5 linked regions of the Ovis aries genome follow. The protein of the gene in region 1 purifies or fractionates together with the protein of each later gene. This does not show direct contact. Links are inferred from orthologs where the notes say so. Each region holds a gene or a part of one and is shown in the gene's direction. Other genes may lie near its edges. The genes, in order: CRKL, GAB1, RAPGEF1, GAB2 and NEDD9.

What was found.
Region 2: the proteins of CRKL (region 1) and GAB1 purify together in Homo sapiens (affinity purification with western blotting; 3 studies listed by BioGRID and IntAct, with this or other methods). This does not show direct contact. The link is inferred for Ovis aries from reciprocal best matches to the Homo sapiens genes CRKL and GAB1.
Region 3: the proteins of CRKL (region 1) and RAPGEF1 purify together in Homo sapiens (affinity purification with western blotting; 16 studies listed by BioGRID and IntAct, with this or other methods). This does not show direct contact. The link is inferred for Ovis aries from reciprocal best matches to the Homo sapiens genes CRKL and RAPGEF1.
Region 4: the proteins of CRKL (region 1) and GAB2 purify together in Homo sapiens (affinity purification with western blotting; 3 studies listed by BioGRID). This does not show direct contact. The link is inferred for Ovis aries from reciprocal best matches to the Homo sapiens genes CRKL and GAB2.
Region 5: the proteins of CRKL (region 1) and NEDD9 purify together in Homo sapiens (affinity purification with western blotting; 4 studies listed by BioGRID). This does not show direct contact. The link is inferred for Ovis aries from reciprocal best matches to the Homo sapiens genes CRKL and NEDD9.

The regions. Positions count from the first base shown.
Region 1 is NC_056070.1:72,321,840-72,327,669, forward strand, and holds the start of CRKL (crk-like protein), read left to right. Parts: upstream 1-1,808; 5' UTR 1,809-2,210; coding exon 2,211-2,521; intron 2,522-5,830. UniProt on the Homo sapiens protein: May mediate the transduction of intracellular signals.
Region 2 is NC_056070.1:14,613,548-14,619,545, reverse strand, and holds the start of GAB1 (GRB2-associated-binding protein 1), read left to right. Parts: upstream 1-2,006; 5' UTR 2,007-2,342; coding exon 2,343-2,414; intron 2,415-5,998. UniProt on the Homo sapiens protein: Adapter protein that plays a role in intracellular signaling cascades triggered by activated receptor-type kinases. Plays a role in FGFR1 signaling. Probably involved in signaling by the epidermal growth factor receptor (EGFR) and the insulin receptor (INSR).
Region 3 is NC_056056.1:5,176,224-5,181,614, forward strand, and holds part of RAPGEF1 (rap guanine nucleotide exchange factor 1), read left to right. Parts: intron 1-3,274; coding exon 3,275-3,363; intron 3,364-4,031; coding exon 4,032-4,184; intron 4,185-4,652; coding exon 4,653-4,776; intron 4,777-5,189; coding exon 5,190-5,373; intron 5,374-5,391. UniProt on the Homo sapiens protein: Guanine nucleotide-releasing protein that binds to SH3 domain of CRK and GRB2/ASH. Transduces signals from CRK to activate RAS. Involved in cell branching and adhesion mediated by BCAR1-CRK-RAPGEF1 signaling and activation of RAP1.
Region 4 is NC_056074.1:15,343,750-15,349,140, forward strand, and holds part of GAB2 (GRB2-associated-binding protein 2), read left to right. Parts: intron 1-3,718; coding exon 3,719-4,019; intron 4,020-5,391. UniProt on the Homo sapiens protein: Adapter protein which acts downstream of several membrane receptors including cytokine, antigen, hormone, cell matrix and growth factor receptors to regulate multiple signaling pathways.
Region 5 is NC_056073.1:44,300,701-44,306,091, forward strand, and holds part of NEDD9 (enhancer of filamentation 1), read left to right. Parts: exon of another isoform or gene 1-2,716; coding exon of another isoform or gene 2,717-2,719; intron 2,720-3,497; coding exon 3,498-3,944; intron 3,945-5,391. UniProt on the Homo sapiens protein: Scaffolding protein which plays a central coordinating role for tyrosine-kinase-based signaling related to cell adhesion. As a focal adhesion protein, plays a role in embryonic fibroblast migration.

The DNA.
Region 1 (5,830 bases):
AGGCAGCCTCAGGGACAGGAACCCTGGCAAGTTGCTGGAAAAGCCTTGTCAATTGAGTCTAAACTAACTATCTTAGAAGAGAGTAAGTACAATGCTACCTGGAAACCTCGGGAAGAGCAAGCTAGAGCAGAATCACAAATCTTTTTTACGTTATGGCCCCTTTTTAAAGCTTCTTGTCGTTTGTCCCCTTCATTTCCATTTCATTACCTCTTAGTGGCTAGGCTGTTTTTTTGGGGGAAAAAGTTTTTAAGCTTGTTTCAGCTGTGCTAAGGAAAAATAAGAAATTACTTAATTATTTTTATTGTGAAAAAATCCAAACATACACAAAAGTAGAATAATGTAATTAATAGCTCCCCCCGCCACACACACACACACACACACACACACACATTAGCAAAGCAAGCAAAATGGACTAACTTATAGGCAATAATTGTGTAACACTGAAATGAGTCCTGGACTTCAAAAGACCTCCCTGAGTGCCTCTTGCAAAGCATACAACCTATGATAACTTCTCTGAGATATAATTGTGTATCTTTGAGATGCTCACTAAACATTTTTTTTGTATTTAATTTTGTATCTATATGTAAACTTATGGTGATGATAATCAGTTTATGATGTAAGCAAGTCAAGCCATTAAGCTGTACACCTTAAACTTGTACAGTGCTGTATGTCAACTATCTCTCTATAAAACTGAAAGAAAAATTAATATTAGAAGATGAAAAAAATATGACAAGGAATGATACAGTCAACTGGTAAGTCAGGTTAGGATTGGAACTCAAGCCTTCCTCTTCAAATTCTGAGCTATTCAAATTGTGCCCGAAAGTAACACGACGCGAAAGTATTTGGAGGGAAGCTGAAAACCTGCTTTGCTGAGTCACAAAAGGCCCTAGGCCGTGACGATTCCCCTTGAGTTTACCCGGAAGGAACGTCAGCCATCACGCTGCGACAGTGGTCCCCAGCATCCTGGGCGCCAGGGACCCTTCCGTGGAAGACAGTTTTTCCTCGGGGCGGGGGATGGTTCAAGCGCATTCCTTTCACGCTGCACTTTCTTTCTGTTATTCTTACATCGGCTCCACCTCCCGTCATCAGGCACTGGGTCGCAGAAGCTGGGGACGCCTGCCCTACCTACAGTGCAGGACAGGCTCAGCCCAGCAACGAGATCGGCTCCCCAGGAGTCTAGAGCCGGGCTCCGATGCCCCTCTGGACAGGCGCCTCCACCGGCCGGCGGGGGCGGGGGCGGGGGGTCCCCGACAGTCATTCATTCCGCCCAGGTCTGAGATCAGCGTAGGGCGGGGCGAAGAAGCGCCAGGCCCAGGGCTGAACAAGGCGCACCAAACCCCGCTCCCGTGAAACGGACGGTCCGGCGCGGACGGGGGTGCGGCCAGGGGCCGGGGCTTCTGCGGCGGGGGTCCTGGGGGGGCCAAGGCGGCAAGGGCTCCGAGAGGACGCGGGAGCTTCGCCAGCCACCGCCTGAGCACCCGCGGCGGTCGGCCCCGCCACCCCCTAACCTGGCCGGCCCGGCTGCGCACGGCCCGGGGCCGCGCCCGGGGGCCGGGCCTGGCCCGCGCCGCCCGCTTTGTTCCCGGAGCGGGCTCCAGAAGCGCCGCCTCCCCGCAGCGCCCCCCGGCGGGCCCGGGAGGGAGCGCGGCGCCGCGCGCGGGCGGCGCACGCCCGCCCTCGCGATTGGCCGCGCGGCGTGACGTCACGGGGCGGCGCCGGCGGCCGCCGGGAGCGGGCGCGCGCGCGTGCGCAGTCGCGGGGCGCGGGGGGGGGCGGGGGAGGTGGCCGCCGCTGCGCCCGCGGCCGCCATTTTGTTGCTGTGGCTCTCGGGAGCGGGGCAGGGCTCGGCGGCCCCGGCGGCGCGGCGCTCCCGGGCGGTGTGCGGCTCGGCGCGGCCGCGGGGCTCGGTGCGGAGCGGCGGGGACGCGGGGCCGGCCGCGCGCCGGGGCCAGGGCTGAGCGGAGGCGCCGCGAGCCGCCCTCGCCGCGCTCGGCCGGGCCCGCGCCCGGAGCCGGCTGGGCCCGCGCGGCGGCCCCGGAGCAGGCCGGCGGCCCGGAGGATGTTGCGGGCCCGCGGCCGCGAGGAAGGCGCGGGCGCGGGCCTGTAGGCGCGCGGTGAGCCCGAGGCCCGGCCGGCGCGCAGCCGCCGCGGGCGGGGCGCCCCCAGCGCCGGCGAGAGCGGCCCGCCCGGCCCCCCGCGCGCCGCCCGCCATGTCCTCCGCCAGGTTCGACTCCTCGGACCGCTCGGCCTGGTACATGGGGCCCGTGTCCCGCCAGGAGGCGCAGACGCGGCTCCAGGGCCAGCGCCACGGCGTGTTCCTCGTCCGCGACTCGTCCACCTGCCCGGGGGACTACGTGCTGTCCGTGTCCGAGAACTCGCGGGTGTCCCACTACATCATCAACTCGCTGCCCAACCGCCGCTTCAAGATCGGGGACCAGGAGTTCGAGCACCTGCCGGCGCTGCTGGAGTTCTACAAGATCCACTACCTGGACACCACCACGCTCATCGAGCCGGCGCCCAGGTGCGCGGGGCCGCGGGGCTCGGCGCGGCGGCGCCGGCCGGGGGCGCCGTGGGTGAGGGCGGTGCGTCGGGCCCGGCAGCTCGCGCTGCGGGCGCCCAGTTGGAAAAGGGGCGCTTTCTGCCCTTCGTCGCGTCCTCGGTGCAAATTACCTGCTGAAGCAGGGCGTTGCTCCCGGTCTTGCAGCCGGTTTGGGGCCACGGGTTGAGACTCTGAAGCTAGTCTTCGGCTCCCCGCCCCGCGGGCCCCTCCCTGCCCCCCGCCCTCCCGAGTTTGCACCGCTTTCAGGGTCTCTGAGCTCCGGGGTTGGACCTCCCGGACGGCAGCCTTTGGAAACTCTAGAGATGGAAATGCCTTCGCAGGTAGAAACGAAATGCCTTTACCTGTGAAATATCAGGGCCATATATTGATAGCCTGGTGCCAGGGTTGAAATAAGCCAGGCGTCTGTTTTATAACACATTAACTGAAAATACTGTAGAAGAGGTCGGCTTGAACGAGGAATTTTTTTTTTTTAATAGATTTCCCCCAAGCTGGGCCTTTAATGGACTGGAAATCCATTTGGTTAAATTCCAAGGTGGAATGAGTCTAGACTGTTACTAAGAGGAAATTTTGAATGACACTCCACTGAAGATTCTACGCTAGTTGAATTTCAGATGTCCTTTTTGTACTGAGTTGCATGACTTAGTATCTATTTTAAAATAACCCAGAGTGACACTGAGCATTGGGCATCCCTTTTCATTTGGGCTTCATTATTGGCCTTAATATTTTGCTCGAGGCTTCTTTTGTGCAGATTATGCAAAACTTGAGCTAAAGAGATGGCGTAGGGTTTTAAAAATAAAAGGTATTGATCTTTTCAAGCGTCTGCTTAGAAAGGACAGGGTGCTAATACAGGTTTTTTTCAGGGTGAGATGGTTCTGACTTGATAGATCTGCTGACAAGATAGTAGTCTCAGCTCTGAACATGAGAAGCTGTCGTATTAAAGGGGGACGCACTGGATGCTTCTGTGGACTAGAGGTAGAGAAGAATGAAGCCCTCGCGGTGTAATGACCAGGAGGTTAACTGCTGAGCTAAATGGACTTTAAAAGCTGGGAGACAGGGATTATAAATCAGATACTGCGTAACAAAGGCCTAGCCGCGGCGAGTCTGACTGGCGAGGCCTCCAGGTCCCCGAAGAGCCTGGGAGCTAGAGGCAGCGCTCAGCACAGTGTGATTCCAGCGTGAGAGGCTGGGGGCTCTCGGCTCCCGCAGTGGTGAGGCTTCAGCTGCGTTCGCGTAACTGGCTCTTCTGGCTTGTGAAGGTGACTGAGCGCTCTCTCGGGCACTGACTGGGCCTCGCCGCGCGCCTCAGTGCAGCCGTGAGGGAGGGACTCGAGCCCCTCTGGGTGGAGAGAAAGGGGCGCGGCCCTGGCTTCCCAGTGCCCGCAGCCGCCACCCCCAGCTTTCCCTTCGTGCTGCTTCCCAGATGCCCGTCCTCACCCTCTCCCGCCGCCTCCAGGGAGCCCGCGCTACACGCCCACTCGCGCCGGAGGACCTTTGCTCGGGCCCCACCCGCCCCTCACCGGGCGCGCCTCCCTGCCCTTGGGGCCTTTCCCTGGCGCTGCCCCCGCCTCCAGTTGAGCTTTGCTGTTTCTCCGCCCGCTGCCCCGGGCGTCCCGCTGCCGTCGAGTTTTCCTTCCCCTGGTGTCTCCGAGGGCTGCCGCTGCCCCAGTTGAATGAGATCCTGGCAGGATTCACTTGGTCACACTGAACCTGGATCGCCTCTCCCGGAGCCAGAAACCCGCGGATCTGTGTGATGCGCTTATTACTCAGCTAGTGTAGAAGACAAGGCCGGGCCAGCTTTGGCCAAAGGCAAAAATCAGGGCCGTGTGCTTCCACGCCCCAGGCAGGATGGATGAAGTGGTTAGGCTCTTTCAGGCCTCAGAACCGAGCTCCTGAAGCCAGAGCTTCTGCGCTTTGGCTAATAGTTATTTTTTGGGGTTCATTTTGCTCAGTAAAAAGTGACGACTTACTGGCTTCCTCAGAATTTAAGGACTGATCTCTTTTTTTTGTTGGGGGAGTAGCTTTTTTTTTTTGGCCGTGCAGCGTGTGGGAGCCAAAGTCCCTGGCCAGGGACCAAAACTGAGCCCTTGGCAGTGGCAGCTGGGGTCTCAACCTCTGCACCACAGGGACGCCCCCTTAACTTCACAGTGTACGTCCTTGTCCAGACATTACAGGAGAGTTAATCCCAGGGATGCGTACTGGGAGAGAGGGGTGACGTGCTTTCTCCATCATGGGCCTTAGATGTCAGTGAGGAGACAGGCTGGAAAGTAGAGATTTAAGTAAAAGACAGCATTGGTCGGTGTGAAGAAAGTCCACGTGGGCAGGGGGTCTAGCAGGCGGGGCTGACCTGAGGCAGGAGGGTCAGAGCAGGGCTGAAGCCAAGAGGGCGCCCAGGGTGGGGAGCCAGCCGCGCCAGGGCCGTGGCTCTGCAGAGGCAGCTTGAATCGGCTGCTCAGAGGAAGGAAGTGGGGTGCCAGGGGGGAGTTTGCAGTCAGGAAGTGACCTGGGCCATTATTGCAATCCAGGTCACGGTGATGACGATTGGTGAGCTGTCCGTCCGTCCGTGCGTCCATCTGTAGTAGAGACGTTCCGCAGGCTGACTGGCAGGGCTGACGGACGGCTGTGGTTTGAAGACGGTTGCTGATGGGAGGGGAACGGAGAGGAGGAAGGAAGAGGCAGATGACTTGGTGTGTTTGCAGCTGCCTGTCCTCTGGGTTGTCTTGTTAATTTTGCCTTTTGAGTTGCACTATTCAGTCCTGTCTTGGATCTTACATTTAAGGTGTGTCAGTGGCTTCTGGTTTTCCAATGACAGATTTTAAAGGATTCTTTTTCCGCACACGGGTGCAGCTTGTAGGCTGAAGCTTGTTGCATAAACAGACACTTCACCTCCATCTTACTTGAGTGTGAACACTTCCAAGATTCTGTTAAGTTCTGTTCAGTGTTAGGTAAGTGCTCCTGGGTTTTTCTTTCCGTTTTAATAGAGGCTGTTTCCAGTTTAACAGCAGGGTCCAGTTTCTGAGTGGGTTCAGTTTAGAGACAGTACATTTTCCCGGGTCTAGAAAATTGGAAGTGTGCTTTGCGTAGGTCGCTTCTCTTATGAAGTTTCCGGTTCCAGCTCGTGTAGCTGTGTGATGACTGGGAGGAGGGTCGTGAGGAGCAAAGATGGGAAAAACAGAGGCGAGTTGGCTCATAGAGGCACCTCCCCACCCCCACCCCCCTGTTTTGTTGCTCGATAGATATTGCTGAGAGCACGCTCTGGTGGTACAGATCTGA
Region 2 (5,998 bases), about 58 Mb from region 1:
TAGCTGCCATAAAAATTACACTCACTTGTATTCTAACATTTAAGAAAAACAATGAGCCCCCTGGGTTGTTTTTTCTCTCTCAGTCCTCCTTATGGTTATCCCTTTGATCTTTTCACAAGACAACATCTTTACAACATCTTTCACATCTCTGGCTAGCTGCCTCTTTAAGGAAGACTTCTCCCCTAGTATCTGACCTAGTTCCACCCTTATTATTCTTCCAGTTTCTCCCAGGGCACATTTATCACAATCTGTACTTGCGTTGACCCTGTTAACTATCTAGAAATGTCACCGCTCTGAGTGCAGGGACCTTTCTTTGTCACCACCCCAGCACCTAATTTCCTACTACAATTGTATAACATTTTCAAACTCGAGAGGAACTGAATATGAATGTTGTATTAACAAGAACAAGCCTGAGGTTATTTTTTCCAGAAACGTTTGGCACTCTTATCTGATTATTTACACTACGTTCCAAAATCTGTCTAGGGGCTTTGTTTCTCATAAATACATTGGAAAAGATATTTCTCTTACAGGATCGTGTTAATCTCAGGGCCAGGTATCATAGTCATTGTAAAACACACAAAAGAAAACAAATAGCATTAGGACATCCAGTGAAGGTTCCCTTTTCTGGTCCAACACCCCAAGAGTTGATTTTAAATAAAAGCCAAGGCAAGTGGAAGAAACTGGCAACAAACGGAGGGAGTGTAAGGCTTCAAAATGTCCCCAGAGATAGATTCAACTGAATCCTTTGGGTCCACTAAGCGCTCCCACCACTCAGGCAAGGCTGCTCCGGGGACCAGCACACATCAGTCCGGAAGGGTCCCCTTCTGACCTCCCCTGCAGGCTGGTCGCCTTGGCGCGCTCCCAGCGACCTCGCCCTCCTGGTCTCCGCCTTTCAGTCTTGCGGGCAGAAACCCCGGGATCGCAGACTCTCCAGGGCGCGCGGTCTTCCTCCAGGCTGTTTCGCTTTCCACGCTGTCAAGTACCCGCCCCCCTCTCCCCCGCCCCCAACTCCCGATCTCCCGCACAGAACAAACTCCGAACTGACACTCGGCTGAGCCAAGATGGCAATCCACAGACTTGAACCTTCGAATGTTCCTCGGTCGCCCGGGAACCCGAGATGGCGCGGCGTTACCCTCGGCGAGGCTTCGCTGCCTTCCTTGGCGACCAGCCCGCCGGGGGCTCCGGGATCCACGGCCGCCGGGGGCGCCGAGGACCCCTCTCCAGCGTCCCGAACTACAGATCCCAGGGTGCCTCTCGGACTCCCGCGCCCTCCCTCGCTCGCTCCCTCCCTCCGCCCGTCTCCTCCTCCCTGGCCCTTGTTGTTTTGGCTGGAAGCGCTCCGGCGGAGTTTCAAAGAAAGTCTGGGCAGAAACCGGAGCCGGCCCGAACGTGGGAAGGGGAGGAGGAAAGAGAGGAAGAGGGAGCCGGGAGGCCGGGAGAGGGAGGGATCGGGGCCGGGGGCCGGGCCGCCCAGAACCTGCCGCGCGCCCTGGGGTGGGGGAGGCGGCGCAGGAGCAGCGCTAGGGGACGGGACGGTAGGCTTGGTCCCCGCAGCCAAGCAGCCCAGCGCCTCCTTCTTCTGCCGCCCTCTGCTTTCTCTCTCTTGCGGCGGCGGCCAGCACGGACCCACCCTTCGGCGGGACCTGCGCTCTGTCCAGCGACGCCGAGCCGGCGGCTCCCTCCGTGGCCCGGGACCAACCCTCAACCCTGCGCCCGCTGACCACGGGACCCTCGCGGCTTTCCCATTCCTTGCGGCGGTCCGGGCGCCTCGGGGAAGTGACCCACCCTCTCTCCAGAAGGAGGAAGGAGGGGATAGCGCCAAGCGCAGTAAAACCTAGAGCTGGCCAGTCGGAGTGGGCACTGCGCGGGGGCATTGTGTGTGTATGAGCGTGTGAGACTGTGTGTGCGCGCGTGCAGCGTCGTGTCTGTCTCGGAGTGCGCTCTGGGAGGTCCCATCCCGAAGGGGCGGAGCGCAGGGGGCCGAGGCTCGGGCTCCGCGCCGGGGCAGAGTCCCGTGGAGCCCGAGCGCAGAGGAGGCGGCCGGCGGGACGGCGCGCCTGGCGGCCGGGCGGGTGCACTGAAGGAAGGCCTGGGCATCTTCGGCCCGGCCGCGGCCCCTGCCCCGAGGTGTCGGCCTCGGCGGCTGTGCCCGCTTCTACTCACGTCCGCGGACCTGCCTGCGGGGAAGAAACTCGAACGCCAAGAGCCAGAGCGCCGCGGAGCCGGCCCGCCCCGTCCGCCTGGGGTGCGCCGCGGGAGAGCGAGGTCCCAGCAGCTGCACGGGCGTCCGGCGTCGAAGGTGTCGGGAGCGCGCCGGGCCCGCAGCCCTAAAGGCTCGCACCATGAGCGGCGGCGAAGTGGTCTGCTCGGGATGGCTCCGCAAGTCCCCCCCGGAGAAAAAGTTAAAGCGTTATGTAAGTAGAGCTCGGCCCCCGTTACCCTCCCTGGGCGGCTCGCGTGCCGACTGCTCCTCTTTAGTCCCCATCCCTTCCCTGTAGGCCCCTTCCCTGCCAGGCTGGGGACCCAGGCTGGACACTCATGCCCGGGCCTCCGCTTGGCCAGGCATCTTTCTTTCTCCAGATTGCAGACTGGAGAAATTTCTTTCTCCATCGGCCCTTAGGAAGGCCTGGTATGGCCAGCTGAGCGCCTGCTGAGTGTTTTTTATTGTTCCTTTTAGCAGGGGTTGAGGGGGAGAGCATTTTCCTTTCGTTAGACCTGCACCGAATTCTCAGGGGCTGCTGTGTAGTAAATTTCCCGCACTGAGAAAACCACGGAGGTATTAAAACTCACCAGCCCTCTCTTTGGACCGCCCTCCCTCCCGCCTTCCCCACGGGATGGTTTCGGAAAGCGGACGGGAGACCTGGGAAGTTGGCGTTAGAGCCGAGCATCTCCAATCCGCTCCACGGAAAAGAAAAAAAAAAGTTATTACGCGCCCTACCGTTTGCTTAGCGGGGTTCACACTTTCTCGGTTTTGAATCGAGGGACGTTGGAGTTTGGCCCGAGAGCCTTGGCAGTTTGCTGCGAGAGGAGGGCGCTGGGGGGAGCCTGATGGCTGGTGTTCGGGCGCCTTGGACACGCTGTCAAACCCTGTGGGAGGGGACAGCGAAGGCCAGTTAGGAGTTCTGTGTGTTATGGTCCTTTCCCAGGCCACCACAGTTGCTTCGTGGTATTTGTGTAATTGATACAAGATGCTGATTATGTGTTAAGCCGTTTTAGCCGTTAGGGGAAGTATTCCTTGAAAGAACCAACGTTACTGCAGCGGAAGTCTGTGTCCTCTTTGGGGAGTCTGGGATCTTATCCCCTTCTCCCCCATTGATTCTTCTGTCGCTGCCCACAGCAAAGGAAAGAAATGACACCTTTGCCCTCGCTTATGGAGCAAATATTTGTCTAGTAAAGTATGTCTCGAAAGCACAGTATGTGCCCCCTTAAATATAAATTTGCTAACGGGGAGAGTAATAATGGACCCTGTTTCTTGTGAAAGGATGTCTACACCCAATGCGAGAGCTCGAGGTAACCCTGTTAGTCAGTTTGCTTGCATAGAACGGAGTGAAGTGCAATATTTAACTTAGCCCACAACTCACCAGTGAGTTTCTGGTTTACTTGCTGCCAGAATTTGCTATAGGCAAGTAGTTCTCCTTTAAGGATTTGATGCCACAAATCCTAGGGATGTTCTTCAGAGATTTTTAAAATTCTTCCAAATTCCCTCTCTCCATCTATCACAGTTTGCCCAAGTATTCTGGTAAATATGGTGACTTTATTCTAAAAGTTGGGGTGAGAGGCAGTGTGTTTTTCAGTTGGGAGTTCTGTGTGTATGTATGTGGGGAGAGGGTGTGGTTTGATGTATTTGTTTTGAGAAGGTACTGTTTAGGAAATGATTGATTCTTGGGGAAACTAAAGAACACTACATTGGCTGGAATAGGTAGTGGTAATAGAGATTTAATGCTTTCTTTCACATGTTTGGTTTATGGCTCTCTCAAAAGATGCCACACGCTAGACTAGGGACCATAAAATTAAAAAAAAACAAAAACAAAAAAAAAAACCCAGCAGGAAAAAAAGCCTTGTCTCTTGGGCTTGCAATTTAATGTACTACAAAAAATCAGCCCAAACAATTACATCTTAACTGGACCAAGAAAATAGAAATTCTCAATTTAAGAATTTTAATATTTCATCTGATCATTACAACAGTTTTATGAGGCAGTTATTATCTGTCTTAAATGAGAACACAATCTACGGAACCAGAGTGTGCCAGAAGCAGGATTTGAACCCAGATCTGCCTGCCTGCCTGCCTGGTCTTTAAAAGGTGAACGCCTCTTATCAAGTTTAAGCTGTGCTGAGGCTGGGTCATGTGGATAGGACCTTTCAGGTTTATGACTTTCTGTGAGTCCGTGGATATAACACGCAAGGAAGAGTGGACTGTGGATCAGAGGTGCAGTGCTGAAGAAACACAGGACAAGCATATGTAGAAAAGGAAGCCATATCCATGTCAATGTGTGGCAAAAACCACCACAATATTGTAAAGTAATTAGCCTCCAATTAAAATAAATTAATTAATTTAAAAAAAAGAAAAGGAAGCCAGCAACTCCACGTGCTTTCTAATTGTGTGCCCAAGTTGAGCCCTATGGCCATTTCATAGATGTTTTCAGGAACAGGCTCATGTAGACGGAAATCATAGGATACGTCAGAGGAACAGTGGGCTCCCTCAATTGTTGTCGACTGAGGGCTGAATATACCTAACAGCTGAGAGAGGCAGGACACTAGGGTTTTCTTTCCACACTAATCAGTCCATGGATACAGCCCAGGAAGACTATGGGGAGGGTGGCTGCCAAAATTGAGGGGTCCAAGAGAGTTACTGGAGTCTTATAAGCTAAATTGAGGCTTGTCTTAATTTGCACTGTCAAGGTGATTGCCCAGAAGATTCTCACGTTTCCAGATGATTGCTGTTTGGCCTGATATTCAATATAGATAGTTTTGGCTAATACATCTTTACCCCTCAAAGATATGGCATATATATATACATGCATCTCCTCTGCTGAGTTTGGTTTTCATGTAAAATCTTTATTTTCTGGATGAAAGGAAACATTGTTGACCACCCAATAGGCAAAATGTTGCTTGATAATGGTTTTGAATGAACAAATTCTCTGTGATAAGATATCTTGACTTCCTGGTACCATAATTGCTAAGGGAGACTTCAGGGAGTTTTTGGGCATTGATTTGGAGGGGGGGGAACACTTGGCCCAGAGGACTTTGATAGTTGTCTCACTGTTTTCCAATATTTATAAGAGTAGTTCAAGCATTGATTAAGAGAATCCATCAGGGCTTTTAAGTGACAAAATATTGTTTTAGTTTTATCTCCAAAGTCATCTCAAGTTATGGCCCCAATGCATTCTACTTACAACTCCATTTTATGTTTGCTTTTTTAATTTTTATTAGTCAGCAGCATTGTTTTTACATATTAGTATGTCCATCTGCTATGGAAGTTTTTCTTGAATTTCCTAAACAGTGTGACAGTAGCATAAAAGATAGTAAGAAAAAGACTAGTGAGCAGATTCTCCGGCTATGTGATAAAAATAATTGTATTGGTTTGTGTATTTTGGGCCTTGCTGGGTCTTCGCTGCTGCAGGGGCTTTCTCTTCTTGAAGAGTGTTGGGGCAGCTCCCCAGTTGTGGGGCGGGGGCTTCTTCCTGTGGTGGCTTCTTGCAGAACACGGGCTCGAGGGGCACAGGCTTCTGTAGTTGCAGCACATCGGCTTATAGTTGAGACTCTTAGGGTCCAGAGCACAGGCTCAATGGTAGTGGTGCCTGGGCTTAGTTGTTCTGTGGTATGTGGGATCTTCCCGGATGAGGGATTGAACCCGTGTCTCCTACACTGATAGGTGGATTCTTGTCCACTGCGCCATCTAGGAATCCCTCTCCAGCCTTTTTGTCTCTCTTTTTCTTTCTATGTTTATTTGCAAAAGGGTAAGAACCTCTTGTATGTGTTTCATCCTCTATATTTTTAA
Region 3 (5,391 bases), on another chromosome or scaffold:
CGGCCAAGGGTGACCTTCTCCTCTCTTCTCCCAGTCCTTGATTGTGGGTGACCGCCACCCTCCTCATCTCTCCAGGAATAGGCATCGACTGTGACAGAGTGGGGTGACACTGACTCCAATTATGTGGAGTATGCCTGTTTTCTCTTTTAATTGGTATTTCAGAATTACTATATGTTCACTGTAGCAAATCAAGAAAAAGCAGAGAGGCAAAAGCAAGAAAATAAGGGGTGTTTCGTAGCCATCTTTTCTTCTATACATGTGTTCTTGGTTGTGTTTTGTTTCCAAAACATACTGTGTATACACCAGTGTGCCATCTGGTGGGTTCTTTTCCATTTAACATTGTATTGTCTTTTCACACTATCATATATTCTTGTTCTGAGTTTTCTTAATAGTAGTATAATGGTCCATTGTTTGATTCTATCATAATTTATGTAATCAGTACCTAGCTCAGTTCAGTCACTCAGTCGTATCCGACTCTTTGCGACCCCATGAACTGCAGCACACCAGGCCTCCCTGTCCATCACCAGCTCCCGGAGTTCACCCAAACCCATGTCCATTGAGTCGGTGATGCCATCCAACCATCTCATCCTCGGTCGTCCCCTTTTCCTCCTGCCCTCAATCTTTCCCATCATCAGGGTCTTTTCAAATGAGTCAGCTCTTCGCAGCAGGTGGCCAGAGTATTGGAGCTTCAGCTTCAACATCAGTCCTTCCAATGAACACCCAGGACTGATCTCCCTTAGGATGGACTGGTTGGATCTCCTTGCACTCCAAGGGACTGTCAAGAGTCTTCAACACCACAGTTCAAAAACATCAATCCTTCTGCGCTCAGCTTTCTTTATAGTCCAACTCTCATATCTATACATGACTACTGGAAAACCATAGCCTTGACTAGACGGACCTTTGTTGACAAAGTAATGTCTCTGCCTTTTAATATGCTGTCTAGGTTGGTCATAACTTTCCTTCCAAGGAGTAAGTGTCTTTTAATTTCATGGCTGCAGTCACCATCTGCAGTGATTTTGGAGCCCCCCAAAATAAAGTCAGGCACTGTTTCCACCATTTCCCCATCTATTTGCCATGAAGTGATGGGACCAGATGCCATGATCTTCGTTTTCTGAATGTTGAGCTTTAAGCCAACTTTTTCACTCTCCTCTTTCACTTTCATCAAGAGGCTCTTTAATTCTTCTTCACTTTCTGCCATAAGGGTGGTGTCATCCGCATATCTGAGATTATTGATATTTCTCCCAGAAATCTTGATTCTAGCTTGTGCTTCTTCTAGTCCAGTGTTTCTCTTGATCTACTCTGCATGTAAGTTAAATAAGCAGAGTGACAATATACAGCCTTGACGTACTCCTTTTCCTATTTGGAACCAGTCTGTTGTTCCATGTCCAGTTCTAACTGTTGCTTCCTGACCTGTATCAGTACCTAGTAGTGAATATTTAATTCTGGAATATTGACTAGTCTGATTTTATCTGTGACATAGAATGCTACAGTGACCATTCTTTGTGGCTTAATTTTTTTACATATCCATGTTATTTTCCTTGGGTTAAATTGTTATAAAATATATGCAGATATTTAAGGCTTTTGATGTGAACTGACAAGTGGTCATCTTTTAGAAAGACTCCCCAAATCATTGCTTCCCTCTATCATGGAAGTCTGAAAGTTTCTGCTTTTATTACCATCAGAACTAGAGAACTTCTAATGATTATTGACCATTGGTTTTTACATTTGTGAATTTCTTTGGTATTTTTTTTGGTGTGTTCACCTTTTTTCTAGTTTTTGTGTTTTTTCAAAGAACGCTTGTTCCATGAAGGAAATTAATACCATGAAAGGTATTAAGTCTTTGCCTTAGCATACTTGTTGAGGTTGGTGGGAAGGGTGTTTTTAGCTGGAGAAGCTTTGCAATCTGATCTAGGGGCACACTGCCATGGTGTCCCGCTTTCTCCCACTGCTGCCTCCTCTGTAATTTTAGAAATAGTTGTTCATGATGAAAGCCTGACCTTCTCATGAGACACAGGAAGGTCCTACCCAGGAGTGCATCAGCAGGAGAATGGATGAAGGAATTGGTTTATCCATACACTGGAATATAACTCAGCAACAGCAAGGATCACACAGAGACACAGCCATTCACACTGAGCAAAAGAAGACAGATGAACAGAGACAGAGAGTGGACTAGTGGCTGTGAGGGGCCCCTAGAGACGCAAAGCTTCTTTTGAAGTAACAATGAGCCCCGAAGTTGACTGTGTTGATGGTGCCCAACACTGTGGACAGACTGAAGACCACTGGATTGCATGCTTTGAATGGCTGGATTCTATGGCATAAAGCTGTTCAGAAAAAGAAGATAGACACAAAAGAGCGCATATTGTGTGGTTCCACTTATATCAAGTCCTGGGCAGAAGTGATCCAAGAAACAGAAGTGGGAAAGCAGTCAGTGGGGGAGGGGCAGATAGACTAGAGAGAGTGCTGGAAACATTTTGTTTGTTTGTTTTTTAATTATTTATTTGGCTGTGCTGGGTCTTAGTTGCGGCATGTGGGATCCAGTTCCCTGACCAGGGATCAGACCCTGATCCCCTGCATTGGGAGCACAGAGTCTTAGCCACTAGACCACCAGGGAAGTCTCTCATTCTGTATTTTTTGAGTGGGCCTTATATGGTATATGCAGCTATCAAAACTCTTCAAAGTCAGGGGAAATGCATTAGCATTGAAAGAAAACCAAGTAAACCCTAATTTTTTTTTTTCTCCTATTAAAAAAAACTTTTTTTTGAAAGTCATTTCTCTGCTAGGTGATAAGCCTTGAACTTTCTGTGCGGTGACAAAGATCCCCACCCTTCATCTCTGGATACCCACCGATGCTGCACCCACAGACAGCTCACTCTGGGAAACCACCTTACCCCAGACCTCAAGCTTGATCGTTAGTAGGCAGCGTCCTGGCTTCAGAGAATTCAGAGCAGGTCCTTCTCCACAAACCAACTGGGAGTCACTGCCAGGAGTTTGTGTGATGAAGTTAGTCATTCTGAGACAGTGGGCTGGTCATTTCTCCCTCCCAAGAGGAAGTATCTTTATGCATGCGAAACCTCTCTGCGCGCTGTGGAGGTGTTTTGGGCGGGTAGGGCATTGTTTTGGGAAGTCATGAAGGTTACCTGAGTCAAACAATACTCGCCCATAGGGTGAGTGGGGACTCCGGGTGGTGGAGGGCAGACAGCTGGCCACCTTGTCAGGATATTCAGCGTGAGGAGCGCTCCTCGTGTCTCACCTCGTTTCTCTTGTGTGGGGGTAGGAGCTGGTCAGACTCACCATCGAGAAGCAGGGGCATCCGTCTCCAACAAGTCCCGTGAAACCCAGCTCCCCAGCCTGCAAACCTGACAGGTGAGTGCTGACTAAGCCCTCCAGGGGTTGCGGTCTCGGTCGGTGGACACTTGAGAAAGAAGGGAGCCCCTGCCAGGCAGACCGTGTCCTGTGAGGCCTGTGGTCCCTTTTCAGTGGCCTCTGGGTAAGAGCCCAGATTACCGTGAAGTGTGCGTAGCTCGCACCCATCTTGAATGGTTGTCTGGTCTCAACACGGTCTTCTCTCAGGGCACCGTGTGATACGCAGGGTGACCCCACCTGCACTCTGCTTGGCCCGCTTCCTCCCGTAATGAGGAACAGCTTTGACAGATTGAGTCTTTAGGGGTTTGGCTTGAGAGCATTACTGAGGGTGATGTGGACAGTTTAAGGCCTTGCAATAATTTCTACTCGCAGCCCCTAGTGAAAAAAATGACACCTTCATTTGGGGCCATTTTCCAGCATCATGCAGTCCAGAGATCCCTCTCATAGATGAGGAGACCAAGGTGCAGACTCAGGGGCCATGGCCAAGCTTCTGTGGGTGATCGAACTGGACTTGAAACCCCATCTTTGCCATGGAGCCCTGGGCATAGTGTTGGCTCTGTGTCCTGGGCCCCTTGGACACTTCCCTGCCCCGGTCACATCCTGACACTCTCAGGGTCTGTGCTTACCCTGGGGCCTTCTGTAACCCCGAGTTCTCCTCAACCCTCCAGCCAGTCTGAGCTCCCCCTGACGGATCGAGAGATGGAGATACTAAACAAGACAACCGGCCTGTCACAGTCAACCGAGGGGCTCCCAGACTCTATGGATGAAGAGGTTGCACCCCCCAAGCCCCCTTTACCTGGCATTAGGGTGGTTGATAACAGGTACCTTCTATTTTCCTAGCTCTCTCATCTATTTCTGTTGTAATTTCACAAATGGATGGTGCCAGCCAAAAAGAAGATGGTGCCATTAGGGGAAGAACTTACTCTTCAGGCACGTTGGTGGTTTGACCTTCCTCGGGACGCTGCCTCCAGAGGACAGGAGTCTGGCCCGGTGCTGGCCCCTCGCCCTCCCCTGCCCCCTCGCCCTCCCCTGCCCCCTCGCCCTGAGAACTCCCAGCCGCTGGCTTTTAGTCCTAGCCAAGCAGAACCTGGTACCGTTTGTCATGAAAGGAAAGAGCAGGGACTTTCAGACGCTAGGCTTTTGGCAGAAGGGGAGTGGGGTGGGAGCTGAAAGGGTGGAAAGTAGGACCAGTGTCTAACAATGAAGAGCCTCCCACCCCACACCCTGGCGTCTGTATAAAGGCTTTTGTTCGGGTTGTCTGGTCTGATGGGCTCCTTGCTCTGTTTCAGTCCTCCACCAGCACTGCCCCCGAAGAAGAGACAGTCGGCTCCATCCCCCACCCGTGTGGCCGTCGTGGCCCCCATGAGTCGAGCCACCAGTGGCTCCAGTTTGCCTGTTGGAATTAATAGGCAGGTAATTAGCCCCATCCAGAAAGGCAGAGGTGGACTTCGGGTCTGGTGCATCGGTTCCTAAACTGAAAGAAGCCCAGTGGTCTTAAGTCCCTGTCTTTGGTCACAGGGAGGAGCTCTCTCCCTGGGCAGCCCCCGTTCCTGAGTGGTCCTTCCCTCTGCAGGCTGTGGTGGGGTTCCCTCCCAGGGTGGGGAGACGGGGCCCAGCCCAGGGCCTCCCTCGATCAGAGCACTCACTCCGAGCGCCTGTAGAGGCCCCTTGTCTCGGAGGCGCTGCGTACGTGGTGTTCACTGCCTGCAGCCAGTTTGTGCACGTCCCAGTATTTCCTTCGCCAAGTACACGCACCTGCTCCCTCCCCTGGGCTCAGCCGCCACCCCTCAGCAGTGACTTGGGCCTGTTCTCACTTTGCACACGAGGACTTTGACGTGGACTGTTACGCACAGAGACGGCTGTCGGGAGGCAGCCACTCATACAGCGGTGAGTCTCCCCGCCTGTCGCCCTGCAGCAGCATCGGCAAGCTCAGCAAGTCGGACGAGCAGCTGTCCTCTCTGGACAGGGACAGTGGGCAGTGCTCCCGGAACACAAGCTGTGAAACACTAGGTGAGCCATGGGCATGCA
Region 4 (5,391 bases), on another chromosome or scaffold:
CTCCTTGCAGTCCAAGGGACTCTGAAGAGTCTTCTCCAACACCAGTTATCAGTAAATAAGTACTGGATTAATTACTGAATCATTTTCTCCCATCCAGGTATTAAGCAGGCCCTTGCTTAATACTTGGGTGGGAGAAAATGATCCAGTAATTAATTTAGTACCTATTTATTGATAACCACCTATGTGCCAGGCTCAACTGTAAACACGGAGAATATAGCATGGGATAAAAAGAACCAATACCTGCCCTCATGAAGTTTCCATCCTAGGAGCTGGGTAGAATCAGCAGCCATACGGTGTTGTAGGTGGTGTGAGTGCTGGTGAGATCAGCATAGCAGAGTAAGGGGGAGAGAGTGTGACGATTGGGCAGCCAGAAAAACAGTCTGTCCAGTAATGGGACATTTAAATAGTGACTTGATGGAGTACATAAGCAATGGGAATATGTGGCGAAGGAGTGTTCCAGGCAGAGGGAACAGCCAGAGCAGAGACCCTGAGGCAGGAGTGTGTGGCCAGCGTGGCTCAAGCAGAATGGGCGCGGCAGAGAGGGGCAGGGCTGAGGGGAGAGCTGTGGGTGAGGCGGTGTCGCCCAGTGCTCACTGGCCACTGCGGGGACTTCAGCTTCTGCTCTGAGTGCAGTGGAAAGCCAGAGGGCACTTAATGCAGAGAAGTGCTATGCTCTGATTGACACCAGCTTCCACGCTGGGAACAGATTGCCAGATGGAAGCATGGAAGCAGGCAGGCGGCCGAACGGTGGACCTGACCAAGTGCGTAACAGTGGAGGTGTGGAGGAGTGACCGGGTTGTAAATGTGTTTTGAAACTGTTTGGACCAACAGGATTTGCTCTTGGGTTTGGAAGTTGATGACTGACATCCAGATTTTTGGCCTGAGCAGCTGGAAGGTTGGAGCTGCTCGTAACTGAGATGGGAAACATTGCGGGAAGAACAGACTCGGAGGATGGGAAGAGCTCGGTTTAAAGGAAGTTTGTGATGCCAGGGCTTCCCAGATGGCTCAGTGGTTAAGAATCTGCCTTGCAAAGCAGGGAGCGCGGGTTCGAGCCTTGGTTAGGTAGCTACGATCCCATGTGCCGTGGAGCAGCCCAGCCTGAGCGGTGTTGCCCCTGAGCCCTCGCGCACAACTAGAGAGTCCATGCATCTTGATGAAAGATGCCATGTGACACAGCAAAGCTTCCTCATGCCCCAGCTAAGACCTGATGCAGCCAGACAAATAAAATATGTTTTTAAAGAAAGATTTGAGATGCCTATTAGTGAGGAGCAGGTATGAGACTCTGGAGTTCTATAGATGGGTTTGGGCTGGAGCTATAAATTTGCGAATTACAGCAGTTAGATGACTTTTAAAGCTGTGAAATGAAATAAAATAACCTAAGAAGAGGATATAGAAAGAGGAGAGTCTAAGAACTGAGCATGGGGGCGTTCTAGCCTTTAGAAGTCAGTGAGACAAGGAGCAACCAGAACTGGAAGCTGAAAAAGAGAAGCTGGGAGGTAGGAAAATTGAGAGTGAGCACTGAAGCCAAATGAGGAAAATGCTTCAAAGAGAATGGAATAGTAAACTTTCTCAGATGTTGCTGAGAGATCAAGTAAAATCCAAATGTTGCTTTGTGTTGAAGTCTTTAAGACCTCTGTTGAAGGAGATGGGGGTTGGGGGCAGCCTGCTTGTATTGCTTCCAAGAAAAGAATGGGAGGAGAGGAAACAACGATTAACACTGTAGAAATCTCTGAGGTTTTTCTGTAAAGAGGAGCAGAAAACTGGGCCATAGTTGGAAGGGAATGTGGGATCAAGTCAAACTTTTCTTTTTTTTTTTTTCTGAGATGGGACAAGTTGGTGTCCTGATGGGAATGATCCTAGGAGGGAGGGAAGATGCCATGTGCTGTCCCCATGTCGTGAGAGGGGGTGATGCTCTGGCGGAAGAAAGTGGGCCTTAGACTGGATGAACCATCCATGCTGCACAGTAATAAACTGCTTTGCTATAATGCAGGCAGACTGGTAAATACGGGGATGGAACATGTGTAGATTCTCTTCTGCTTGCCTGTATAGTCTCATACCAAAGAGTGGAGGTGCTACAGCTTTAAATAGGGCAAGGTTCAGATGATTGCCAAGAGCAACAGAAAATCAGGGACCAGACAAATGTAGTAGACTGTTGGAGCAGGAGGGCTCACTTGAGCTTAAAGTGAGAGGAGCCAGCGTGGTTGTGTGATTTTCTCCAGCTCTGAACAGCTGAGTGGAAACAGGCAGAGTAGGCTAAGCATTAGACTTAGTCAAAGGTTATGGTTTCCTAGATAAAGAGAGGAAGAGAAGCAAGAGAATGATTATAATGATGGATCACAGGAACAAGGCAGGTGGAAGGAAGTGAGGATGGAGACAGAAGGGGAGAGTGCAAGGTGCCAGGATTCATGGAGTGAAGTCCCAGTGAGGTCTAAATAACCGCGATGATCCTTGGCATCAGTGGCGCTTTAGGACAGAGGAGCTGGAAGGCTGCAGTCCATGGGGTCGCTGAGGGTCAGACATGACTGAGTGGCTTCACTTTCACTTTTCGCTTTCATGCATTGGAGAAGAAAAAGGCAACCTACTCCAGTGTTCTTGCCTGGAGAATCCCGGGGACGGCGGAGCCTGGTGGGCTGCCGTCTGAAGAAAAAGGCAACCTACTCCAGTGTTCTTGCCTGGAGAATCCTGGGAACGGCGGAGCCTGGTGGGCTGCCGTCTATGGGGTCGCACAGAGTCGGACAGGACTGAAGCAACTTAGCAGCAGGGTTGCATCATAGTGCTTTGTGTGCAGTATAAACCCTATAAGGTAGGTAGGACAGTTGGTGATGGTATTCTATTCTGTAGATAAAGCAAGCTCCAAAGAGGTAAATAACTTTATGTGAAAATCACACAGCTAGTCGGTGGTGAAGCACAGACTCCACCCGAGGCTCTGTTTTATTTGTGATATCTTTTTACCACTTTGTGTGATGTCTGCTCACAGATTACTCGGTCTCATTGAAGACAGGGAATGTAGACAACATAAGGAAATGTGTAACTGAGTGTTAAATTCTATAATATGGCATGACATAAGGAGTTTATTCATTCAGTAATGTATATTGAGTGCTTATTATGTACAGGGCTGTATTATAAATACTAGGGATATAGTATTATCCACTATATATAGTGACTGAGATGGGGGAAATTCTGAAGTTTTGTGCTTCAGGGAGGTTTTAGAAGGGTTTCTGTGTGGTTCCTCCAAGGCATCATGATTGGGTAAAAAGCACCAGGTACTGAAAGCTTGGAAACTTTTTTCTCCGCTACTTGCTGTATGTGACGTTGTGGCTTCAACTCAGTCTGTCTTAGTGGGGGACCCCATCCGTAAACTGAGATGTTATGGCTTTGCAAGTTCCACCCTGACTAAAAGTCCTGTGAGTTTGAGGCTGTATTCTAGCTTAATGGAATAATTGTGTAAAGTGTGTTAGTCCTCATCTGACTTCTTGAAATGACGTATCTCGTTTCATAGTGATAAGACCCTGTTTCAGTAATGAAATGCTGCACTAATGTGTATGCTAAAGTCATCCGCTGTTTTTTAAACTCTGGGAAAGCACAAAAAGGAGACAGAGGCCACGCTCGGCTGGCAGGTGCAGCAGTCCCCACCCTTAGCCTGGTGATATCTGAGGACCTGTGAAAAGCTTTGAATTGACTCATGACTTTCCCCCTGCTCTCACTCCTTCCCGTTCAGGCCTGGAAGAAACGCTGGTTTATCCTGCGGAGCGGCCGGATGAGTGGTGACCCCGACGTCCTGGAATACTACAAGAATGATCACTCCAAGAAGCCCCTGCGCATCATCAACCTGAACTTCTGCGAGCAGGTGGATGCAGGCCTGACCTTCAACAAGAAGGAGCTGCAGGACAGTTTCGTGTTCGACATCAAGACCAGCGAGCGCACCTTCTACCTGGTGGCCGAGACGGAGGAGGACATGAATAAGTGGGTCCAGAGCATCTGCCAGATCTGCGGCTTCAACCAGGCAGAAGAGAGCACAGGTACGAGACGCTTCTCAGCAGGGACCAGGTGCCTCCTGGCAGTGGCTGGGCCCCTGGGGCCAAGGGGACGGCCTTCAGACTCCTTGAACAGCAGGGCAGGCTTTAGCTAAAGGCTGTCCTCTGAGGTGGGGGAGAAGTAGGCAGAGGGGAGGAGTCTGAAGGGCTTGGCCACAGGGTGGAGGTCCTCCTAGCCCTGAGTCTGCTCATGTGGAAAGCAGGCATGTTGGGGTTATGATGAAGCTCGAGGTGCTGCTGGTATTTCTTCAGGTACCTCCGCGCCACCCCGTGTCTCAGGCCTGCCCTTTCTCCCCTCAGCTCTCCAGCTCTCTGTGCCTGGTTAACCTGTCACCCACACACGGGCGGCTTGCACCTTGCTCTCTTCTTTGATGCATCCTCTGTCCACTCCTGTTTCAGAACAACGTGCATAGTTACACTAGCCGCTTTTCTGGTAAGGGGAGGTGTGGGATTCTTTGTGAGTACTGTTGATGCACAATCCACTGTTCTTTATATTTCCCTGGAAACGGACACATGAGAAGGGGGAGATTCTGACTTGTGTTCAGATTTTGTTAGCCTTCACAGAAAGAGTAGCTCACCATTTTTAAGTGAGGCTTCAGCTGCAGAAATGCTCTTTGCCATTTGTTTGGGCTCATCCACAACTCTAGGATGATTGAGGAGTAGGGTTCTTTTTGTGTGTGTGGCAGATGGAAAGCCTAAGTTAGTAGTTTCCTAAACCTGGTTACATATCAGAATTAAAGAGGAACATTTTTTAAATGTTGATGCTAGGGATCCATATCACATCAGTTAGCTAAGAATGTCAGGGGTGGGACCTAGGCATCAGTCTTTTAAAAGCTTCACACCAAGTGGCAAGGGTCTGGGGCTCAGCATCCATTTTCTGTAAATAATTGAAGGCCACATACAATCTCTGATTCCTATACCTGTTTTGTAAACTTCTTAGAACCCTTTAAAAACATGAAAACTGTTTCTAGCTCATCAGCAACGTCAGCCTCATCTGGGAACCCATTAGAAATGAAGATTCTTAAGCCCCACCCCAGACTTAGTGAATCAGAAACTCTGGAGGTGTTTTAACCAGCCCGCCAGGTAATCTGATGCATGGTTAAGTTTGAGAACCACTGATTCAGACTCTTACTATCAGAGTGGAGTTTATGGACGAGCAGCATCAACCTCTCCTGGGAACTTGTTACGAAGACAGAAGACTTCTACTCACTCAGACTTACAGGATCAGAATCTGCATATTTTTTTCAGTTTCTTATTCTGAAATAATGTTGAGCTTACAGAAGAGGTGCAGAAATTGTACAGCAAGTTCCCATGTACCTTTCATCCAGCTTTCCCTAACCTTAACATCTTTCTTAAC
Region 5 (5,391 bases), on another chromosome or scaffold:
GATATTATCCTCATTCTCATTTTACAGATGAGGAAGTTCTGGTGCAAAGGTTGAAGGGAGTAATCTGCCCAAGTCACACAGCCAAGACCCCAAACCCCAAGAATTGGCTTATTCCCTAGACATGACAAAAAGAATCGTCGTCTTCAAAGCTTTACTGTAAAATGGAAAGGAGCCCAGTTTGCAGAACAGTATGAACTAGAACTAAGGTGGCCTGGAAGGCCAAGAGACTACAGTTCTGTTCCCATCTCTGACTCCACCGAGGTGTGGCCTTGGGCAGATGATTAACTGTCCCCTCTGCCAGATGTGTTTCCTCATCTGTGGAACAGGGAGGCCGGGTCCAAGTGTCCTCTGAAGGTCCTCTGAAGGAGCTGTAACCCCTCTGTGTGTGAGGCTGCTGGCTCCCTGTAGCTCATGCAGGTGGTAAATAACTTATTCCCGTTAGGCCGAGGCTGAGAAGAACTCTCAGTGTTGAGGCACCAGGCTGGCAGGGGAGCCTCACCGGACTCCCTGAATCCCAGTCTCTGTGGGCACGGAGGAGGAGCTAGTCAGAAGACACCCACGGTGCGTCCACAAGCGGCTCCCTGGGTTTTCCACGAGAAGCGGCTCTGGCAGCCTGTCTAGAAACCTGAACGTGCGGCTTAGCTGGTGGTGGTGGAGGGTCATGGGGGCAAGAGGCAGAGACCATCTAGACTAGCCTTCATGCGGGGATTGCTAGCCGCCTCGAGCTGGTTGTGGCCCGTGGCTCCACTTCAGTGCCTCCCAGAGCTCCACAGCCGTGCCCAGCTCCAGATGCCTGGAGCTCATGTATGCAAATAAGGCTTGTGGTCTTTCACGCTTCTAGTCTCCTCTGTTTCTGTTTTTGATTTTTGGCCACGAGCAACATAGGGGACCTTAGTTGCCCAGTCAGAAATGGAAACCAGGCCGCCTGCATTGGAAGGGAGAGTCTTATCCACTGGACCACTGGGGAAGTCCCTGTTCTGTTTCTTTTCTTTCCCTTCTTGATCACCAGTATCAAGCTCTGGACCCTCAACTCCCATAGATCTGGTTCCAACCCTGTCACTCCTGATGTCAGGAGGCATTAGGGCCTCCTTGCCAGCCATTCCCAGTCTTTGCATGGGCCTCGGAGAAAGGGACAGAGTCCAGAGTGGTCAGCCTTCTCCCTGCTCTGTCACCTCAGGACAGTTTTGGTGGAGTCACGTATGGATGTGAGAGCTGGGCTATAAAGAAAGCTGAGCACAGAAGAATTGATGCTTTTGAACTGTGGTGTTGGAGAAGACTCTTCAGAGTCCCTTGGACTGCAAGGAGATCCAACCAGTCCATCCTAAAGGAGATCAGTCCTGAATGTTCATTGGAAGGACTGATGTTGAAGCTTTGGCCACCTGATGTGAAGAGATGACTCATTTGAAAAGACCCTGATGCTGGGAGAGATTGAAGTCCAGAGGAGAAGGGGACAACAGAGGATGAGATGGTTGGATGGCGTCACCAACTCAATGGACATGAGTCTGAGTAAACTCCGGGAGTTGGTGATGGACAGGAAGGCCTGGCATGCTGTGGTCCATGGGGTCACAAAGAGTTGGACACGACTGAGCGACTGAACTGAACTGAACTGACTGAATTTCCTTCCCATCATTTAGATACAGAGGAAAAGAGTCTTGTCTTCTTCAACTCAATGAATTTTCTTTCAAGGACAGATCACCCACAAGATGGGAGAAGAGAAACGTAAGAGATTTTCGGGTTAGGACTCATCCTTAAATGGTTCCTCACATCATGTTACAGTGCTGTGTGTTTTTATTTTTTTGTGTGTGAACCTTTGTTAGAAGGAACCCGAAGCTTCCTAGAATATAAATACCAAGTACAGCTTTCACCTGGAACACAAACCCCTCAGTATCCTTCAACTTCCCTTTTCTGCCCTCCTGTCTACATTACAGGCTTCCTGGATCAGAAAACCGTCAAGAACAAGGACTGCAGTCTTATTCTTAAAGAGCATCACCAGGCTTCCTGGGCACTGAATTCCAGGGCTTCATCTCCTTTCCTCCTCTCCTTTCCTGTTAAGCTGTTGCACTGTACTCAGAGGAGCTTGGTTAACAGAGTAAAAGTAGGAACCTCCCCAACCACTGAGCAGGGGACAGACCCACAGCACAGGACCTGTGGTTATGGGGCATAGTACAGGGGGAGATGGTGCGTGCATGTCAGTGATGAAGGGCTGAAAAGCAGGAGGCTGAAAGATCAAATTCACATTTTTAGAGAAGAAAACACGGGGGCAGAAATCCAGACAACAACAGCCCCAAATTCCACGGGTATGTCATCAGAGCACACTCCATCCAATCGGCAGTCTTTTCTCCCGCAGCCGATCATCATCACCCCAACATCGAGGGCATCCCAACTGTCTAGTGAAGCACTGAAGAGACCGTCTTGAGTTTTCCGATGGCTGGAGATGAATTTGCAACGTTCCAGGGCTCTGTGTGTGCTGGGAAGGAGCCGGCATCGGGGTGGGGAAGGCTACCCTCATGCCTCGAGACGTGACTGATGCCAAGAAATGAAATCGCCCAGCCTTTGAAAGACTTCCAAGAACGTCGGCATGTCCTGCCTACCCGCTCCCCGCCGAATGCCTGCTTTGGCTGGCTGCTCCGTACTGAAAGTGCCAGACAGGCCTTCACACAAAGAGAGAAAGTGTCTGGGGCCCATGAAAGGGGAAGGCAGAGCCTTTCCGATGTGAATGGTGAGATTCAAGGAGGAGGAAATAAAGTGGCGGGGTGAGGAGGGGCCCTCAGGAAAGGTGGGAACAAAGTACCAGAGGGGACGGGGCGGCCTCTGCCTGCCCACGTGGGGTAACCTCTTTGGAGCTCCGCATGCTCGGGTCTGGAGGTGTGGACCACCGTCACTGCACTCTGCACAGGATTATCATGGAAACATCCCCCGCTTGTAGAGTCTCCCTGTATCCGAAGACCTCTTGATCAACTGAGAGTATGAATTGTTAAGGCCTGCCAAGGCAGAGATCAGTGTACTTCTGTTTCCATTTTAATACTGGATATAAACGCCATTTGTGCTGTTTGTCTGGGGGGAATGTTCTTTGACTCTCTTTACCTCCAATATACTTTTAAAAAATGTCTGTTGCAGTCCATTTGAATATCTTGGAATATATTTTTCTTCCTTCGGCTGGATTGGAGCAAGGAAGAAAAATGCTTTGTAGAGTGAACTGCTCTCCAGCTCCTTTGCCGAGCTCCTCGTAATTCCCTTGGCACAGCCTCTGCTGTTGGAACACAGCACTCGGTGGTGTTCCGAGCTTTTCCGAGGAGGCGGTCTGATGTCATTGGTGGCAGACACAGTACGTATGGATCTGTCTTTTGTCTGCACCATCTGTTTTTCTCCTTACAGCCCATTGTTTGGATCCTCCTCTTTCCAGGAAGTGTGCCTCTCCATCAGAGCACGGGCTTAGGTGTTTCAGGGACTCAGTTCATCTGCTAACCTGCGTTCCCCCTCTCTTCTTTCCTGCCTAGAATCTTATGGCCCGAGCCTTGTACGACAATGTCCCGGAGTGTGCCGAGGAGCTGGCTTTCCGCAAGGGAGACATCCTGACTGTCATTGAGCAGAACACAGGAGGACTGGAGGGATGGTGGCTCTGCTCCTTACACGGCCGGCAGGGCATTGTCCCCGGCAACCGGGTGAAGCTTCTGATTGGCCCAGTGCAGGAGACCTCCTCCAATCAGGACCTGCCCACTTCGGGACTGGGGCCACCGCCCTTTGGCCAACAGAAGCTCTATCAAATACCAAACCCACAGGGCGCCCCTCGAGACACCATCTACCAAGTGCCGCCTTCCTACCAAAATCAGGGAATTTACCAAGTCCCCACCGGCCATGGGACCCAGGAACAAGATGTGTATCAAGTGCCACCCTCAGGGCAGAGAGGCGCTGGGGGCGCTAACGGTCCCCACCTAAGTAAAAAGGTGAGTGAACAACAGCTGGATTTCTCTTCTTATTTAATTTTTTCCATTGCAATCAAAATATGTGTCTATGTGCTCCTAAAATAAGAACTTGGAGCTTCCAAGAAGCCGTCGAAGAAGTAAGTAAATCTTCCAAGAAGTAAGAATGTCTGAATACTCTAGCTTGCACGTTTTTTTTGACAGGGGAAGTCATTTTTCCATTCATTGGTCAGTAAAACCTTCTTGAACACCCACCCCATGCCAAGTACTGTTGATCCATAGCCCTTACAGGTTCCCGAGTTGTGCCAGGTTATACCGCGTCGTCAAGTGTTCCCATCTTTCTGATAGCCCTGCTTTTACACGTGGGCTCTGCACTCCACAGTCCAGTCTTTTCTCTTTCTCCCTTGAGTAGTACAAGGCACCATACTTTGCACAAGCATAGTGAAGCAGCAAGGACTCTCCTTTCACTAAAAGCTCGATTATGACCCCACTGGCCATGACACCACACGGCTGGCTGCATGAATGCACGAGAAGTCGAGGCCGCAAGGAAGGGGGAGTGGGTGAAGCCAGCCACCGTGTTCTGGAGAGCCATCAGCCTCAAGGTCGACTCACTTAACACAGAGACTAGTGAATTCAGAGAAGAGCCAGCCTCTTGTCCTTCTAGTAGTTCCTATAACAATGCCTGAGGCGGTGGGTAAAAATAGTGGAGCTAGGGTATTTAGAAAGGCATCATACTAAAAAAAAAAAAAAAAAAAGGTGAGGGCACTTCCTTGGTGATCCAATGGTTAAGGCTTCGCCTTCCAATGCAAGGGTGCATGCAGGTTCTGTCCCTGGTCAGGGAACTAAGATTCCTACGTGCCTGTCAGATAAGAAAAAACAAACAATCAAACATGAAACAGAAGCAAGATTGTAGCAAATTCAATGAAGGCTTTAAAAATGCTCCACATCAAAAAATCTTAAAAAAAAAGAAAGAAAGACCTCTTCAGCACTCTCTGTAATTCCAAATGCTGTAAGAATTTGAGATAAGCAGACCATTGAAGGAGTTTTAAGCATCTAGCCTAGTTTCGATGCTTGTGATAGCCTGATGAATCCAAGAGGGAATGTGGCCTCCACAACACTTACGCTGTAGCGAGAGACGTCATAGTCATGGGCATAAGTTGCTCAGTCCCGTCCGACTCTTTGCGACCCCATGGACTGTAACCTACCAGGCTCCTCCGTCCATGGGATTTTCCAGGCAAGAGTACTGGAGTGAATTGCCACTGCCTTCTCCAGGAGATCTTCCCAACCCACGAATTGAACCCTGGTCTCCCGCATTGTAGGCAGACGCTTTACCATCTGAGCCACCAGGGAGACATCAGCCAACACCAAATGTCAGGTGGGGAAACGGCTGTGAAGACAATAATGGCCGTGAACTTGTGTGTGTGTGTGTGTGGAGGTGGGTGGGAGTAGGAGCCAACTGGAAGATGAAACT